Saccharomyces cerevisiae S288C: one gene and its partner. Changing the gene in region 1 together with any one later gene gives a genetic interaction. Each region holds a gene or a part of one and is shown on either strand. Other genes may lie near its edges.

Evidence for each region.
Region 2: mutations in HKR1 (region 1) and RBK1 together harm fitness more than expected from each alone (negative genetic interaction), as found in Saccharomyces cerevisiae (2 studies listed by BioGRID).

Annotation. Positions count from the first base shown.
Region 1 is NC_001136.10:1,304,736-1,312,234, forward strand, and holds HKR1 (Hkr1p), read left to right. Parts: upstream 1-1,531; coding exon 1,532-6,940; downstream 6,941-7,499. Other genes in the region: RAD30 (DNA-directed DNA polymerase eta), read left to right, coding at 1-337; ARO80 (Aro80p), read left to right, coding at 7,305-7,499.
Region 2 is NC_001135.5:191,501-194,821, forward strand, and holds RBK1 (putative ribokinase), read left to right. Parts: upstream 1-1,796; coding exon 1,797-2,798; downstream 2,799-3,321. Other genes in the region: fatty acid elongase ELO2, read left to right, coding at 1-135; exosome non-catalytic core subunit RRP43, read right to left, coding at 334-1,518; PHO87 (SPX domain-containing inorganic phosphate transporter), read right to left, coding at 2,914-3,321. UniProt on the Saccharomyces cerevisiae protein: Catalyzes the phosphorylation of ribose at O-5 in a reaction requiring ATP and magnesium. The resulting D-ribose-5-phosphate can then be used either for sythesis of nucleotides, histidine, and tryptophan, or as a component of the pentose phosphate pathway.

The sequences.
Region 1 (7,499 bases):
TCAGGTCCATACTTTCAAAAGCTCAGCAGGCAAGGAAGATGAGGAAAAAACTACCAGCTCGAAAGCTGACGAGAAAACTCCGAAGTTGGAATGTTGTAAATACCAGGTGACTTTTACAGACCAGAAGGCTCTTCAAGAGCACGCAGACTATCATTTAGCATTGAAACTGTCGGAAGGCTTAAATGGTGCTGAAGAATCATCCAAAAACCTTTCTTTCGGGGAAAAAAGATTGTTGTTTTCACGGAAAAGACCAAACTCACAACATACTGCCACACCTCAGAAGAAACAAGTTACATCTTCCAAAAACATCTTATCATTTTTTACAAGAAAAAAATGACCTATTCCAAATAGACAATTATATGGCTTCAGCAACTAAAACGTCCTGATAATATTGCTTTTCCAAAATTTCTAAATGATTCACGGGCGCCAGGTTTTGTTGATAAGAAGAACGAAGTACCTTTAATATCTTATGATCGGAAAATACCGACTGATGACTTTTGAGACTTCGCTTTTGATCAAAGTGATAACATTATGTACAATATTCATACTAGGATTTCTTGATAGAGATTTGGAAGTCTATAAAAAAGAAACAACTTGTTATAATTTATTTTTGTAGACATGACTCACAGAATATTACATACCTTCATAATATATAAGATCCATGTGATAATGAATGCTGGAAGCATGATCTCTGACCTCAGCTGATTGTTCAGGGGACTTAATCAATTAGATGCGTTTAAAGCAGGAATTGGTTTGATACACACAATCTCATGTTACAAAGTAACGCTGTTTAAAAACAAATCTGAAGAATAATAATGCAAGTAATATTATACATCATAAAAAAGTTATACACTATCATTACTCTTCTGAAGACCAGATTACAATACAAATTAAGGCAACTTGGCCGAGTGGTTAAGGCGAAAGATTAGAAATCTTTTGGGCTTTGGCCCGCGCAGGTTCGAGTCCTGCAGTTGTCGTTATTTTTAATGTTTTTATTTGGTAGCAACAAAATTTGTCAGTCAATTTCTTTTGTTTTTTTCTTTAAAAGGTGTAACAACGTTATCACTCAAGTATTCGTTTCTTATTATCAAAAGTCTTAGACTTTCTATTAATAGCAGTTTGTTCTTTTCCACAACGCGCTAAAGATATTTCGCTTTCTGACCCGTTTGGTTGCAGAAAATTTTTTTAACTAATTTAGGAATATTTAGATTAGTTAATTGGAGGGCTTATTCAAAGACAGTAGTTACAGCGATTTAAAAGCAGTGTCCCTCGTAGGCACCTGTAGTCATTTCATTCGTTTGGATATTTCGCTGTACTGCTTCCTGCATTGTAATCAAGAGAAAGTTTACAACTTAGAGCACTAACTTTGTTTGTAAACATTTTCCGTTTATAATCAATTGCCATATCATCAATTTTATTATCATTCTTTAACCAGTAACTAACTGATTCCGCACCCACATTATTGAAATTTTTGCGATATCTTTTTCCTCAACTGACGCAGTCAACAGTCAGAAACAGAGAATGTATAAAGATGGTCTCATTGAAAATAAAAAAAATTTTACTCCTGGTGTCATTGTTAAATGCAATCGAGGCCTATAGTAACGATACAATATATTCAACTTCATACAATAATGGAATAGAAAGCACACCCTCATATTCAACATCCGCGATATCCAGTACCGGATCTAGCAACAAAGAGAATGCAATAACATCAAGCTCTGAAACCACCACAATGGCTGGCCAATATGGTGAAAGTGGAAGCACAACAATAATGGATGAACAAGAAACTGGTACGTCCAGCCAGTATATTAGTGTGACGACGACAACGCAAACTTCTGACACGATGTCATCAGTAAAAAAGTCTACGGAAATAGCGACACCAAGTAGTAGCATTGTACCCACCCCTTTGCAGTCCTATAGCGATGAATCACAAATATCACAAACGCTTAGTCACAATCCGAAGTCCGTGGCGGAGTCAGATAGCGATACAACCTCCTCGGAATCCTCAAGTAGCGTAATAATATCCACATCCGATAGTTCAGCGGTACCGAGGGAAATAAGTCCAATAATAACCACAGATTCTCAAATTTCCAAAGAAGAAGGCACATTGGCTCAAACTTCCAGTATCAGTGAAACAACGAGAATTGCACAAATGGTAACCAGAGTTTCACAAATCTCCAGCATAACGGCAGCTTCAACAATAGATGGCTTTAGTAGTGAATCAACACAAACAGATTTTTCCAACACTGTATCGTTTGAAAATTCAGTCGAAGAAGAATATGCCATGAGCAAATCCCAGCTCTCTGAAAGTTACAGTTCAAGTTCAACCGTCTATTCTGGAGGGGAGTCGACTGCAGACAAGACATCTAGCTCCCCCATTACCAGCTTTTCATCTTCTTATAGCCAAACAACGTCAACTGAAACCTCTGAGAGCAGCCGAGTGGCTGTTGGAGTATCCCGGCCCTCTAGCATAACGCAAACTACATCAATTGATAGTTTTAGTATGAGTGAAGTAGAGCTTTCCACATATTATGACTTAAGTGCTGGCAACTATCCTGACCAAGAACTGATTGTCGATCGCCCGGCCACTTCTTCCACTGCCGAAACATCTTCAGAGGCAAGTCAAGGTGTAAGCCGTGAATCTAACACTTTCGCAGTATCTTCGATTTCCACGACAAACTTTATAGTTAGCAGTGCTTCGGATACTGTTGTTTCAACTTCAAGCACCAATACAGTGCCATACAGCTCTGTCCATTCAACCTTTGTTCATGCGACTTCCTCGTCGACTTATATTTCTTCTTCCCTTTATTCTTCCCCATCCTTATCTGCATCCGTTTCCTCTCACTTTGGCGTTGCTCCTTTTCCATCTGCTTACATATCTTTCTCATCAGTACCCGTTGCAGTATCCTCGACGTACACGTCTTCACCATCGGCTTCTGTTGTAGTACCTTCTGCCTATGCGTCTTCACCATCAGTACCCGTTGCAGTATCCTCGACGTACACGTCTTCACCATCAGCACCTGCTGCAATATCCTCAACGTACACGTCTTCACCATCGGCACCTGTTGCAGTATCCTCGACGTACACGTCTTCACCATCGGCACCTGCTGCAATATCCTCAACGTACACGTCTTCACCATCGGCACCTGTTGCAGTATCCTCGACGTACACGTCTTCACCATCAGCACCTGCTGCAATATCCTCAACGTACACGTCTTCACCATCGGCACCTGTTGCAGTATCCTCGACGTACACGTCTTCACCATCAGCACCTGTTGCAATATCCTCAACGTACACGTCTTCACCATCGGTACCTGTTGCAGTATCCTCGACGTACACGTCTTCACCATCAGCACCTGCTGCAATATCCTCAACGTACACGTCTTCACCATCGGCACCCGTTGCAGTATCCTCGACGTACACGTCTTCACCATCAGCACCTGCTGCAATATCCTCAACGTACACGTCTTCACCATCAGTACCCGTTGCAGTATCCTCGACGTACACGTCTTCACCATCAGCACCTGCTGCAATATCCTCAACGTACACGTCTTCACCATCAGTACCCGTTGCAGTATCCTCGACGTACACGTCTTCACCATCAGCACCTGCTGCAATATCCTCAACGTACACGTCTTCACCATCGGCACCCGTTGCAGTATCCTCGACGTACACGTCTTCACCATCAGCACCTGCTGCAATATCCTCAACGTACACGTCTTCACCATCGGCACCCGTTGCAGTATCCTCGACGTACACGTCTTCACCATCAGCACCTGCTGCAATATCCTCAACGTACACGTCTTCACCATCGGCACCTGTTGCAGTATCCTCGACGTACACGTCTTCACCATCGGCTCTTGTTGTCCTGTCATCTACTTCCACATCCTCTCCATATGATATTGTTTACTCTCCATCAACTTTTGCTGCCATATCATCCGGTTACACGCCTTCACCTTCTGCTTCTGTCGCCATGTCATCTACTTCCTCATCCTCTCCATATGATATTGTTTACTCTCTATCATCTTCTGCTTCCAGATCGTCCATTGCTACATATGAATTTTCACCTTCCCCATCTACTTCTTTACCCACCTCTTCTACTTACACATACTTTTCATCTGCTTATGCGTTTGAATTTTCTTCTGAGCGGTACTCAACAACATCCACAATAGCACCAACTCAAATACATAGCACATTGTCCAGGATTACGGATTTCTTACTGCAGACTTCGATGGCAATCCAAAGTATAGTCTCTCAGCAAATTTCTACAAGCTCAACTTTAAATGACGAAATACATTCAAGCGCGCTTTCCGTTTTCAACCCTTCAGCTTCGAATTTGGTTGAAACTTCTCTGATAATTTCATCGACCCAAGCAAGCATAACAAGCCCCAAAAACTCAGCTAAAATTAGTTCACTACAGAGCCAGCTGTCTAGCAGTACAAAAAATCCATACGATACGGCGAACAAGAATACTGAGACCAGTGGCAGATCCACAGTTGTTTCGAATTTCCTATACACATCTTCCGCGGCGAAACCAGACAATGAAAAGTTTTCCGCTACTCCTACAGAGATAACTACAATTTCAAGTAGCTCGCACGCATATTCTTTATCTATTCCAAGTTCTCATAATTCTGTGACTGGACTATCACATAACTTTGTCGATTCGTCAAAAAGTGCAACCTCATTTGGCTACTCATCCTCATCAATATCTTCAATAAAACTTTCAAAAGAAACAATACCTGCAAGTAAATCTGTTTCAAACACACAAGAAAGAATCACAAGCTTTACATCAACATTACGAGCAAATAGTCAGTCTGAAAAATCCGAAGGGAGGAATTCTGTAGGTTCTTTACAAAGTTCACATATTTCATCTAACCCATCGCTCTCCACAAATACAAAGGTTGATTCGAAAAGTTTATCCAGGAAAGTATCGAAAACCATGGGCGAAAATGGCGAGGAAACCGGCTTAACCACAACAAAGACGCAATACAAAAGTTCTTCTGAAACCAGTGGGTCATATTCTCGGTCTTTTACAAAAATCTCAATTGGACCTGCTACGACTGCAGTTCAAACTCAGGCAAGCACTAATTCAGTATTCACAGCCCCTGCCTTGTCTACCTATCCTACTACTCCGTACCCCTCTCCAAATAGTTACGCATGGTTACCTACCGCTATTATAGTGGAATCATCCGAAACGGGCCCCACTACCGCATCATTCAATCCGTCAATCACTGGTTCACTTCCCAATGCAATTGAACCGGCCGTCGCTGTATCGGAACCCATTAACCACACTTTAATTACCATCGGATTCACGGCCGCTTTGAATTATGTATTTTTGGTTCAAAATCCATTATCTTCGGCTCAAATCTTCAACTTTTTACCTCTCGTTTTGAAGTATCCCTTTTCAAACACCTCATCAGAACTGGACAATAGTATTGGGGAATTATCCACTTTTATTCTTTCATACCGGTCTGGGAGCAGCACAACTACCCTTTCCCCAAAATCCATATCATCATTATCAGTTGTCAAGAAAAAAAAAAACCAGCAGAAAAAAAATGCCACGAAGTCAACCGAGGACTTACATCCTCCACAAGTCGACACATCCTCAATAGCGGTGAAAAAGATTGTTCCCATGGTAGACTCTTCTAAGGCATACATTGTATCAGTTGCAGAGGTATATTTTCCAACAGAAGCCGTAACATATCTTCAGCAATTAATCCTTGATGAAAATTCGACTCTTTATAGCAATCCTCAAACCCCACTGCGAAGTTTAGCTGGTCTAATAGATAGTGGGATCCCATTAGGGGGATTGACGTTATATGGCTCTGGAGATGGTGGTTATGTCCCTAGTTTAACCTCATCAAGCGTCTTGGATTCTTCAAAAGGAAATTCCCAAAACATAGATGGAACTTACAAGTATGGAGCTTTGGATGACTTTATCAATTCATTCACAGATTCTGCATCTGCAGGAAAGTATGCTGTAAAAATAATCATCTTTTTGATTGTTTTAACTATTGGCGTACTCTTGTGGTTATTCGTTGCATTTTTTGCTTTCCGTCATAGAAATATATTATTGAAAAGACACCCAAGGAACTGCATAGGGAAAAGCCTCAATAATGAGAGGGAACTTGAAAGTACCGAGCTTTCCCGCTCTTCTTCTGGAAACCAAGTTTATAATGAAAAGCCGCCAGAATCTGAAAATGAAAGTGTTTACTCTGCGGTAGATGATCATTATATTGTGACTGGCGAAAACACAGTCTATAATACTATTCACAGATTACATTATACCATTAATGATGACGGTGATCTATTGTACAGGGACGCAATCCCCCTCGATTTTGATCAAACCAATGGGGATGATGGTTCGGGAATAGACAGTATAGTAAGAGACTGCGTGTATGACAAAAACCAAGATGCTACGGAAGCCTTCTTGAATGATGAGGAGTCCATATCAGGCATTCTAGATGTTGATGAAAATGGTGATATTCGATTATACGACAGTTATTCTGACAATGAAGAGTCAAACAGTTTTCACTTGCCAGACGAAGTTATTGAAAACTATAACAAGAACCATTTGTGCGAAACTAAACTTCATGGACTAGGCACTGAATCATGTACTACAGATGATCCCGATACTGGAAATCAAATTACGAATGAGTTTTCTACAGGGAGTCAGACATGTTTGCCAAGTACCGCTTATACCACACCCCTTCATACAAATTCGATTAAACTTCACACATTACGCTACACAGAATCTTCACTACCAAAGCCAAATCAGACTCTTTTCTCTAATCTTGAAGATTTAGAAATAGAGGATATTGACGACAATGGTAGTGTTTCAGATGTACATATCGAGGAGCTGGATGCTTTAGACGAAGAACTTTATAAGAGAATGTCGAAAGTTATAAAACAACAGAACCATCAAACGACAAAAATATAGCGAAAAATGATTATTGACTGTGCAATAAACGCTGCTGGAAGGGGCGCTTGCAACAAAAGATGATCACAAAAATTGATACCCATTAATACACATAGGCTCACGCCATTACTATTATTATATATATCATCAAGTATTGCATTTGTAATTTTATGAGTCCTTCTTAGTAATACATGAAGGCTTTTTTTTAATATTTTCGGAATCAACGAGAGTACACTATTCTATCCGATGATAACCGAGATAAATGAAGATAGTAACTAACCAATGAAAAAAGAGCGAGAATAAATTAAAGCAATAATATCAAGTTAGTCGTGGGAATATATGATCCACGCATAATAAGGTTACATTAAGCACTGCTTTATCCTCTATGTCTGCTAAGAAAAGGCCTTCGGGAAACGCAGCATTTGAACTTCCAAAACGGAGAAGAACCTACCAAGCTTGCATCAGCTGCAGATCAAGGAAGGTGAAATGTGATCTTGGTCCGGTTGATAACCCACACGACCCACCGTGTGCACGTTGCAAAAGGGAGCTAAAAAAATGTATTTTTAGCTCTAATAAGGGA
Region 2 (3,321 bases), on another chromosome or scaffold:
ACCAAAACCAGTAGAGTGGTAAAGCGTGCCCACGGCGGTGTTGCCGCAAAGGTTAATGAGTATGTTAACGTTGACTTGAAAAACGTTCCTACTCCATCTCCATCACCAAAACCTCAACACAGAAGAAAAAGGTAAGTGTAAAATCTTTGAAAGAATTTAAGTATTCAACTTTCGTATATTCGTTTTTTCTTAGTGGATCTATTGTTACTATTATCACTATTATTATATTGTAAAAGACCGGATGGTTTTGTTATATATTACATACACATGTTATCGTTGAAAAAAGTTTTCCGTTTCCTTTCGACAGTCATCAGATAATTTTATCCGAGTCTTTTATATGTTAAATCTTGTTGACAAATCGTCCGCTCTAACCCTAGATAACAACAATGATCTTTTTATCATTTCTGGCGTTATTTTAGCGCCTCCTCCCACTAATGTTAATTGCTTATAGTTACCTGAAGGAGCAGCGAGGATGGAGATCGTACTGTGTATACTTGTTTCTTCCGCTTCAGTATCTAGGTCTGCTATTAGCACAGTGTTCAATTTATCCATATCAATGTCCACTTCCTCTTCTTCAGAGTTATCAGAGTTTTGTAATTGGCATTCGGGGTCTAACTCCACTATCCCATAATTTGAAGCAAATGCAATATTCTTTGCGTTTATCATTAACGGTACTGACTTAGTTTGGTCGCAAATAATTTCATACGTTTCTCTTATGGTGGCACTTCTTCCTCTTGTTCTTATAGTCATTCTTAAATCGGACGCACGCTCATCTATAAATGCTCTAGGTAACTTTACGCTCTGTAAAGCGTACATCAAAGAATTCCAACACAAATCGAAGACTGGACCAGTGCGACTCAAGACTACAATTTTCGCATACAAAACGTATGACCATTTTCTTTTCATTTTCAGGTTTGTTTCATTCAGCGTATCATCTTCTAATTCATCGGGATACAAGACGGAAAACGTACCGTCTTCATTCGCACTACGAACACCAGCTTTTACCTTCAAGGCTTTTTTAGGCAATATCCTAGAGTGCAATATGGAATCGTGTAGTTTTTGTGATATAGTCATTTCTTCATCGGTGCAAGCGCCCACTCTACCTCTTTCAACTTCCACCACCGGATAGACAGAAGCATAATTTGCAATTATGTCCTCCTCTTTGGTCACTTCGAACAATTCTTCCTCACCGAAATCATCCAAATCTTTAATCGCGGCGCTAGTTTCTTCTATTATTCCACCCGTAATAGAAGTTATGACTATGGTTTTCCCACTTTTCAAAACATTTGAGCCTAAAATGTTGTTTTTAGTGTCTATATTACCAGCATCCGCATAACGCGATAAAGTATTATTTTCTATAGCAACATCTCTAAATTCTTCATATTTTCTTAGACATGGCCTGATTCCTAGGGATAAGTGTCTTTGTAAAGACAATTCTGGAGATATTCTCGCAAGAACTTCAGGTGGAAAAGTAATTGGGTGTATCTCAATAGTTTCTAACGTGGTACTTTCAGCCATTTCCAATATTAGATGCCTGTGAAACTACTGTCAAACTTATTTGTGTAACAATACTCATCGTCTAATTTGTCCATTATTGTTATATACTCTGTCATAAAAAAAGAAAGAAAAATCTTATACTTTCGTCGACTGTGATTTGAAAATCTCTCCAGATCAAACGGGAATAAAAGGGTTTATATCCGAAGGTGGCCAGAACAATCATGAAGCAAATAGGATAAAAATAGCCAATAAGATGTTTGTTGTCTTTCATCCCAAAGTTCCAACAGCATATTTCAAAGATGGGTATTACAGTAATAGGTTCTCTAAACTATGATTTGGACACATTTACGGATAGATTACCTAACGCTGGAGAAACTTTCAGGGCTAACCACTTCGAAACACATGCTGGTGGTAAGGGATTGAACCAAGCTGCGGCCATTGGTAAATTAAAAAACCCCAGCAGCAGATATAGTGTTCGAATGATTGGTAATGTTGGAAATGATACATTTGGTAAACAATTGAAGGACACTTTATCCGATTGCGGAGTCGATATCACTCACGTCGGTACTTACGAAGGCATTAATACGGGTACCGCTACCATACTAATTGAAGAGAAAGCTGGTGGCCAAAATAGGATATTGATTGTAGAAGGTGCTAACAGCAAGACTATTTATGACCCGAAACAGTTGTGTGAAATTTTTCCAGAGGGCAAGGAGGAAGAAGAGTATGTTGTTTTTCAACACGAAATTCCTGATCCTCTTTCCATTATTAAATGGATACATGCGAACAGGCCGAATTTTCAGATCGTATATAACCCCTCACCTTTCAAGGCCATGCCTAAGAAAGATTGGGAGTTGGTAGACCTTTTGGTCGTTAATGAAATTGAGGGTCTTCAAATCGTGGAAAGTGTATTTGATAATGAACTTGTTGAAGAAATAAGGGAGAAGATAAAGGACGACTTTTTAGGAGAATATCGTAAAATTTGTGAGCTTTTGTATGAAAAACTCATGAATCGAAAGAAAAGAGGAATTGTGGTTATGACTTTGGGTTCGAGAGGGGTGCTTTTCTGTTCGCACGAAAGCCCTGAAGTACAATTCCTTCCGGCTATTCAAAATGTTTCGGTTGTTGATACTACAGGAGCTGGAGATACTTTCCTGGGCGGTTTGGTTACTCAATTGTATCAAGGAGAGACCTTGTCTACGGCTATAAAGTTCTCTACATTAGCTAGTTCATTGACCATTCAAAGAAAAGGTGCTGCTGAAAGCATGCCACTGTATAAAGATGTTCAGAAAGATGCATAAAATCTACTGCAATTTTTTACTTTTAGTTTGTTAAATTTTAGTTTTCGTCATATATATAAAGTTTAAAAAGGTACAAAGAATGCAGTAATAAGAAATGTAATTACATGAGGGCAGTTTAAGTGCTACCTTTTAAGACGGAAGAACTAATACCATAACCGAGAGTAATTACGCAGACAAACGCTAACAACGAAGCAGGAACACCTCTGGAGATAAAAGCGCCTACAGTTAGCCATCTATTACCCTTTTTATCGGTCATAGAAATAGCAGTAACGTTTGGAAATCCAGATGAAGCCAACCCCATACCGCATGAGGCTAACAAGGCGCAACCGAACACAAGAATTGGAGCTGCCTTTGGATCGGATAATTTGTCACCAACTTCTTGCACCAAGGGAATAATGATGATTGCTGACACAGTATGTGAGACAAAAGTGCCCACAACTAACATTAAAATACCGAAAATACATAAGATAGCAAAAACACCATCGTTCTGAATTTTCTTTTGTAATGCTCTTGCAATAGTTAC